Daphnia pulex: one gene and its partner. The protein of the gene in region 2 purifies or fractionates together with the protein of the main gene of each other region. This does not show direct contact. Links are inferred from orthologs where the notes say so. Each region holds a gene or a part of one and is shown on either strand. Other genes may lie near its edges.

Region 1 (3,446 bases), about 790 kb from region 2:
TTCATTTCTTCTGGATTTAGGGATCATGGTGGAATGTCACCAGATCATAGTAGTGTTAAATCAGAGCGCGAATTCTCAGAAAACGACAATGCTGCTCCTGGTGCTCAGGTATCCCAAAATGCAATTGAACTTCCTGTAGTGCGAAACATAGGACCAAGGGCAAGCGCGACAGCTCAACCAGTACCACCACCAGTTGTTAAACGACGAGAGGATGAAGCTTCTCGTCAAATGCAACATCATCAAGAGGAAGAATCGCCTGTCAAACGACGAAGAAGAGGAGCTGTTCTGGGTGCGTCCGATCAGAATTCATCCCGCAGAGGCAGAGGTCACGGTCGGAGTCCAAGAAGAACTGGTGAGTTAATTTTTATTTCATGAAATGAAGTAATAATTAAATTATTTATCATATTCCCGTTTTAAGGTTCCGATAGCGAGGATACAGTAACAGATTACGTTAATTCCTCGAGCATGGGATCAGGTTGTGTGAGCTTGTCCAATTATCAGCCTCGTTCGTCTCGATACAATTTCTGCACAGATCTCGGTAATTAACGTCTTTTCCTATTTAATTTTTCAAACTTAACGCGATGTGTAAAAATTGTTATTAATTTTTTTTTTATTTTACGTAGACCCAGAGTTGGACGCAACACAGCGCATCGCTTCTTTACAGGACAAACTTCGCGAATTAAGACAAACCTACAGTGCATTGAAGGCAAGGGTCATGCTAATCGACCGCCGTAGAAAGAAATTGAAGCGCAAAGAGAAGGAAGCCGCATCTTGATAACATGATGGATTAACAAAATATGCACAATAGGTTTTCTTAATTTTATTCGATTATGACAAGTGACTTTATAAAACAGTTTGTGTTATTTATTTCTAACTGACCGCCGTTGCGATGAATCATGCATTTCCCATTGTTTCTCATTTCATTGTTTGTATATGTGTGCGTGTATGGAATACTCTCTCAACATCCTCGTCGTGGATGCGTGATGACTAGAGCCTTGACAGTCGATACTTCGTGAAAAGATCCACTGGTGGTTGCAATTCAATCAGAATCCTGAAGAAAAAAAGCCCGTATTCCCACTATTGATAAATAGCCAGCTATTCTGGTTAATTTGTTATCTTATATTGGTGAACTGATGTTGGACCTGATTAGAATAACCCCATTGATGATTCATTTAGTTGCCATTTGTTTAAAAATGAGAGAAGCAAACTTTTCCCCTATTGTTAAGGTTCTTGACATGGTAACGTGAAAACTCGCATTTTAAATGATTGATTTCTAATTGTTTTTGCATCCCTTTTCTTTCATTCTCCATCTGTCTTTTTAAATTTCTGAAATGAAGACCTTTATGATTTCCCCACTTTACGCCCTAACCTCAGTTTTTCGTATGGTATTTCGGCCATTTCCTCCCTAATTTTAGAGAAAAAACATTGAGCAATTTCATTTCGGAGATGTTTTACAGCTTTGAAATGGAATAAAATACGATAATTATGTCTTTTGGCGATCGAATTTTGAAATACAATTTATTAGCGGATAGAAAAAAGCTGACTTTAAATCAAATCGCAACGCTGTAGAAGTAGTTGAAGTTTTGTTCATGCAAATTAGCAGCTGTTTGCTGGGGGGTAGTCGAGTCTTTATTTTTTTTGTTCTTGTTTCTTCATTCCTATTCGATTTACTTCTTCCATTGGAATTGGTGACAAAGTGCGTTACTTCTCACTTGGGAATTAACAATTCAAACATGGAAATGGTACCAGAAACGGGTATGTTAATACGGAAATACGTGACGAGTTTTCATTGATTCGTTAATGGCATGTTTTGTTATTTTTAAACCAAGAAATCCAAGATGAAGGCATTCTAAAGCAGCAAAGAGAGATTGAAAAAGAGGTTTGTTGACATTGCTGTGACCAAGAATTTTATAAATGTTAAATGATCTCTTAATATATTTTGGTCAACAATTGTGTTTTGCTACTCTCATGTCAATGTATTTTTATCTTTAAGTTATCTTATTTACAAATAATAGGTTGCAGAGATCCATCCCTTGGTTGGAAATAAACAACCACTGACATGTCTACTGAAAGAGTACATGGATGATCCAATATATACAAATAAGTTGACAAAATTGGCTGGTGTGTATCAGTCGATCAGAAGAGTGCGACCAGATGGAAACTGCTTTTTCAGAGGATTTGGATTTTCCTATTTTGAAAGACTTCTGGATAATGAAGAAGAATGGAAAACATTTCAGGCTATTGTGATGGGCACAAAGGATCAGCTGATATCACAAGGATTTCCTAAATTTACTCTAGAAGACTTCTTTGATTCGGTATGGATCCATAAGAATAAGAAAAATGAATTCCTTGTAATATTGTTTTTTTTTTTTTTTTTTTTTAGTTTATGGAAGTAGTTAACCGCCTTGGAGGTGAGGGGAAAATGGACGCAGAAGAATTAAGTCGAATTTTCAACGATGCCGGGGTAAGTATGAGCAAGAAAACGTTTCGATACTTTGACTTACGTGTGATATTTCTACAGACCAGTGATTATTTGGTTGTTTATCTCCGCCTTGTAACATCTGGACAATTACAAAAAGAGGAAGACTTCTACCAGAATTTCTTGGAGGGAGGCAAGAGTATGAGAGAATTTTGTCAGCAGGTACTACAATAAGTGGGAGAGAGAAGTTTTAAAATCTTTAACTTAATTGTACTCTTAATTTTCAGGAAGTGGAACCCATGTATCGCGAATCGGATCACATGCATGCCATAGCCCTAGGATCAGCTTTGAAAGTTGGTATTCGAGTTGTTTATTTAGATCGAGGTGAAATTACCACTAGTCCTCCAGAACATGATTTCCCAGAAGATTGCACTCCTTCCGTTTATCTGCTATATAGACCCGGCCATTACGATATTCTGTACAAGTAAAGACGAATAAAACCGAAGATATTTCCCTTTTTCAAGAAATGAATTGAGCAAGTTAAACGTTATTAATATACAATTGTATTCTGCATACGACGGCGCAGTGTTATACAAAAAAAAAATAAGCCATGCCAGTTGTTCTTATCTAGAAATGGGTTGAAAAAACGTATTTACAAAAACCAGATTGTTTCGGCGGACTTCCACCTTTCTTCCTTTAGAACGCTGCAACCTGTAACGAAACAAAACACTGCACGGCATTAATAATTTTTTCCGATTTACAAGGATCGACCAGGATTATAATGAAAGGAAACAGACCATTTTACGATACATTAATAACCTAACCCAATGGTGCAAGAACCTCGGTAGTTGATCATATATGGGGTGGTAGGCTCCATCAATGTGTAACAACACTGTGAATATTCATAGAAAATGCATAATACAAACAAACAAAAAACATACTGGCATAGCTAAATATGTGACACAGGGCACCTACATTTAAGAATGTTTGTAATTTGATAGGTTTCCATATCCTCAAACTTGTGCAG
Region 2 (4,035 bases):
TAATTTGCTTGAATATAGGAGGAATTTTGTCGGGAACGACTTCATTGCAAGGATCCCCTATAAAGAAACATCATCCATCGCAAGATTTCATTCATTCACCGATTCCAACTCCTTCGAACAGTAAAAATGTTTAACCGTTGCCAACATTTTGCATTTGATTTATGACGCGTTCGATCTTTGTAGATGCGACACCTGTGTTGGAGGCAGCGGCGAATGTTTTGAAAGAAACGACAGCAACGGAAGAAGTGGCTCCCCAAGTAACAGAAGAACCAGCAGCGATGTTGCAAACGACAGACACACCTACGCCAAAAAAGAGCCAGGCTCTAGGGGCGTTGGCTATCCTTGATCCGGCAAACTTCACGTTGGACGGCGGCCAAACAAATAGACACCGCGTTACAAAAGAAAGTTTTAAAAACGCCTCTCAGCTCGGTTCAATGTCTGATCCTTCTGATCCGCTCAGCCAACTCGATCCTTTGTGGTCATTGGCTAAATAAGTTTTTCTGAGTCAAATTGAAGGCCATTATTATCGATACTACGCTGATGGCAAAAGATAGCGAATTATTTCTTGCCTCTTTCTTCTTCTTCATTATTATTTAGTAATCTGATCAAATAGCTTCCCATGGCGACATATTAGTTTGTTAGCATCGTCTGAAGATTTAACCCGTGGAAGAATGGCATATTTTGCATTCCGCTAAGTTTTTTGGAATTTTATGATTGATGTACCGAATACACGTTCAACATTAAGTGCCGCTAAAATTTGACTTTTAAGTGGTTTTGAGAAATGCACAGTTATTTGCAAATTGAATGTGTTTTAGCAATGGCTTGCTTCACGTTGGCGGGGCAATGAGAAAAATGGTATGCAGCTGCTGACTATTGCATCACAAAGGGAGCTTTATCGTTGTTGGACTTGAGCAAGCGCATCTTGAGCCTGAGGAAATTTTGCTGTCTTATTAGAAAGCGCGCACAATTCCATATGTCTTGTGTGTAGATTAGCTAGTCAAGGACGCGCGCGTATACAACAGAAACGCCTCGCCATGCAAACAACAAAAAAAGGAAAGGGGTAACCCTCGATCTCTTTGTATCGATGCAGCCCCAAAAACCAAAAGACCTGATGAAAAAACCGAAGAATAGTCATCACCATCTACCAACTACGGCAATTTTTACCGTTGAATTTGGGTAATCGATTGTCCTCGTGTGTTTATACAAAAAGGATGCTGTTTAGTTTCAAATGAGCTGGCATCGTCTGCTAGCTTTCGAAAATTCTCATTTCTCATGTGTGCTCAGTCAGTTTAGTAGGGGATTCTTGGTATATTTATGTGCCTATTGAGGTACATTTATTTATGATCGCATGAGATTACAGAGCTTTTTGGTGTTGTAATCATCATTCGAAAAGAAAGAATGGCCGAAGAAAATTCCACCGATGAATTAATAGAAGAGAAGGCTGAAGAGTTGGACGGCGAGGAAGAATTATTGGCTCGGCACCGGAAGGAAAAAAAAGATATTCAAGGTTCTTTGGACTTTCAAAATTGCATATTCTCGGAGAATATTTGTTTATTTATATTTTTTTGCTTATTGATATTTATTCAAACAGCAAAGATTCAAGCTTTGAAGAAGACAGCAACGAAAGGAGACAAAAAGAAAAAGAAGGACGTGGCTGAGGAGATTGCCAAGCTAGAAACTGAAATAGAGACTAAACATGCTGCAGAATTGAAGAAATTTCAGGTTGTGCAGCCCATTGATATGATAAATATGTTTGTGTCATGTTTTGAATTAATTTTTTAAAAGGAATCCACAGCTGAAACCAAGAAAATCTCTGAGCAACTAGAAGATGTAAACTTGGCAGCCAAGGGTGAAGGAAAAGTCACAAAGGCTCAAAGAAGAAGAGACAAAAAACAGGACCAAGCCAAAGAAAGGGTGCAGTTGATTGAAGAACAGGAGAAAGCTAATCTTTTGGGAGTCAGGCACACTGAAACCCAGAAAATCAAAGCAATACTGGCCAAGCAAAATCTGACTTTCTTTGAAATACCATCTGATGGCAACTGGTACTTTCTACATAATTCATTTTCGTACAAGACGTAATATATTTCATTGTTTCCCCAGCATGTTCGCGGCCATACTGCACCAAATTAACCGCGGAGGTGTCTCACAGTCTGTGCAGCAACTTCGCAATCTTGCGGCAGAATTTATGCGTTCAAACGTGGACGATTTCATGCCGTTCATGGACGAGGTGGAAAACGAAGAACAATACATGAAATACTGCGACGATCTCCAACGAACCGCCACGTGGGGTAGCCAGCTGGAGGTACATACAATACAATCTTCTTCATTCTTGACCGCTGTTGTTGCGCTCAGTGAAAATATGAATAACTATTGCTTAGCCTGTCGAGGGAGGGAGGGAAAATTTCGATTGATGATGGAGCCTCCTCTTTAGGAGATGCGCACAACCTTGGGGCCTTTCCGTTGACGATGAATGGATGAAAACTAATTTCCATTTGTGTATTTTTTTTTTCTCTCTTTTATCCATTGCCTCTGACCCCTTGCGGCAACAATAACAACACTTAACTGCAGTTGCGAGCTTTAAGTCAAGTTTTACGACGTCCCTTTGAAGTCGTGCAGGCTGAAGGTCGTCCTGTTATCATAGGCGAAGAATTCACGGATCCATCATCTACTCCGGTACTGCTCACTTACCATCGCCACATGTACGGCTTGGGAGAACATTACAACAGCGTCCAGCCTCGGCCAGCCGACGACGAGGACAATGACGGCGGCCAATAAACCAACATCCCGCCATCTCTCTCAGTAATCTCCCACCTTCACCCAAAAGTAAATGGTGAGCTTTATAATGGGAAAATTCCAACCTTTATTTCGCGAGATTACAAAAAGTGCAAACACACACACGTGAATATCTTGTGAGTGGCTCGGCAGTTTTCGTTTTTCTTTCTCTTTCTGGAAATTTTCCATCGTTAAAATAACCGTCTGTATGTATGACGAATGCCAGTGTACTTGGCAGCTCTAAACGGCTTGTTTTTGGGACCGAACCAGTCCACCAAACGTGCAATTTAGATTTAAAAGTTAAGAATATCTTTTAAGGCTGTTGCGGTTTATTAGTGTTATTCTTTTATTGAGTGGAGTCAACTCCTCCCCGAGTTGATGAGAGAATTCCGGTCACGATGCCGAAGGTGTTTATCCACTCTAGTCATCTACGAAAGCCATTAAGTCTCGAAAGAAAAAAAGACAAAGGGAAAATGCCGGGACAATGCCGCCCTCTCGTTCGCCCCCTCCGTCCGTCTAAAGTATCATCGTATAGTTTTTAGTAATAATCGGCAACGAGCTATAAATGCGAATGATATTCTGACCCCCCGTCAACAAGATGAGCCACAAATGGAGTCGTTCGCCCGTCGCGCACGAGCGATGAAATTTTCGCCACAGTCCTACTATAGTACCCATATAAAATGACTCGACTACTACCACCTATCGCTGACGGCTTTTCTTTTTTCTCGTTTTTACATTTTTATTGGACAGGACAACGGCGAAATGTCCTTGATCCATGCGCCATAAAGTTACACTGTATCATCATCAAAGAAGAGTCCTGATGAAGATTTTTTCTCTCTTTTCTCAAACAAGTTATTCAAGGACAACAGTTTTTTTCTTTTTATTCATTTCTCTTTTTCTTGCTGCCCCCTACACAGTTATTAACTGTTTTGGTCGTCGTCGTCGTCGTGTTTCCCCAGCAGTTTTGTATTGAAATTTTTGCGTATCACGTTCCGCGATTGTCTGAATTTTTCAGTTTCGTTTTCCAACGGGTAAAATTTATGTTATTTTTTTGTCTGACTAGTTACGGATTTCTCTCTTTTCGGCCCCGCAACTGATGAGTTGTCACTTTTGTTTCCATTTCAGAGTTATGAAATTGGCTGGAGAAGCAAAATTGATGATGTGATACATTCGTGCGCGTACGTGTAACGTATCCTTCTCTGCCCTTTGGGGGCGGACAGACAGGATGTTGTAAAGAAAGAAAAACTACACCGGGGAGGAAGG

Evidence for each region.
Region 1: the proteins of deubiquitinase OTUD6B-like (region 2) and ubiquitin thioesterase otubain-like fractionate together in Homo sapiens (co-fractionation; 4 studies listed by BioGRID and IntAct, with this or other methods). This does not show direct contact. The link is inferred for Daphnia pulex from reciprocal best matches to the Homo sapiens genes OTUD6B and OTUB1.

What each region holds. Positions count from the first base shown.
Region 1 is NC_060021.1:6,843,150-6,846,595, forward strand, and holds ubiquitin thioesterase otubain-like, read left to right. Parts: upstream 1-1,475; 5' UTR 1,476-1,589; coding exon 1,590-1,755; intron 1,756-1,829; coding exon 1,830-1,879; intron 1,880-2,015; coding exon 2,016-2,315; intron 2,316-2,383; coding exon 2,384-2,464; intron 2,465-2,521; coding exon 2,522-2,641; intron 2,642-2,706; coding exon 2,707-2,907; 3' UTR 2,908-2,946; downstream 2,947-3,446. Other genes in the region: AT-rich interactive domain-containing protein 4B-like, read left to right, coding at 21-352, 419-538, 624-775; uncharacterized protein LOC124194062, read right to left, coding at 3,433-3,446. UniProt on the Homo sapiens protein: Hydrolase that can specifically remove 'Lys-48'-linked conjugated ubiquitin from proteins and plays an important regulatory role at the level of protein turnover by preventing degradation.
Region 2 is NC_060021.1:6,053,161-6,057,195, reverse strand, and holds the start of deubiquitinase OTUD6B-like, read left to right. Parts: upstream 1-1,235; 5' UTR 1,236-1,398; coding exon 1,399-1,507; intron 1,508-1,591; coding exon 1,592-1,722; intron 1,723-1,785; coding exon 1,786-2,042; intron 2,043-2,100; coding exon 2,101-2,302; intron 2,303-2,568; coding exon 2,569-2,775; 3' UTR 2,776-2,823; exon of another isoform or gene 2,824-2,893; intron 2,894-3,897; exon of another isoform or gene 3,898-4,035. Other genes in the region: tyrosine-protein phosphatase non-receptor type 23-like, read left to right, coding at 19-120, 184-494.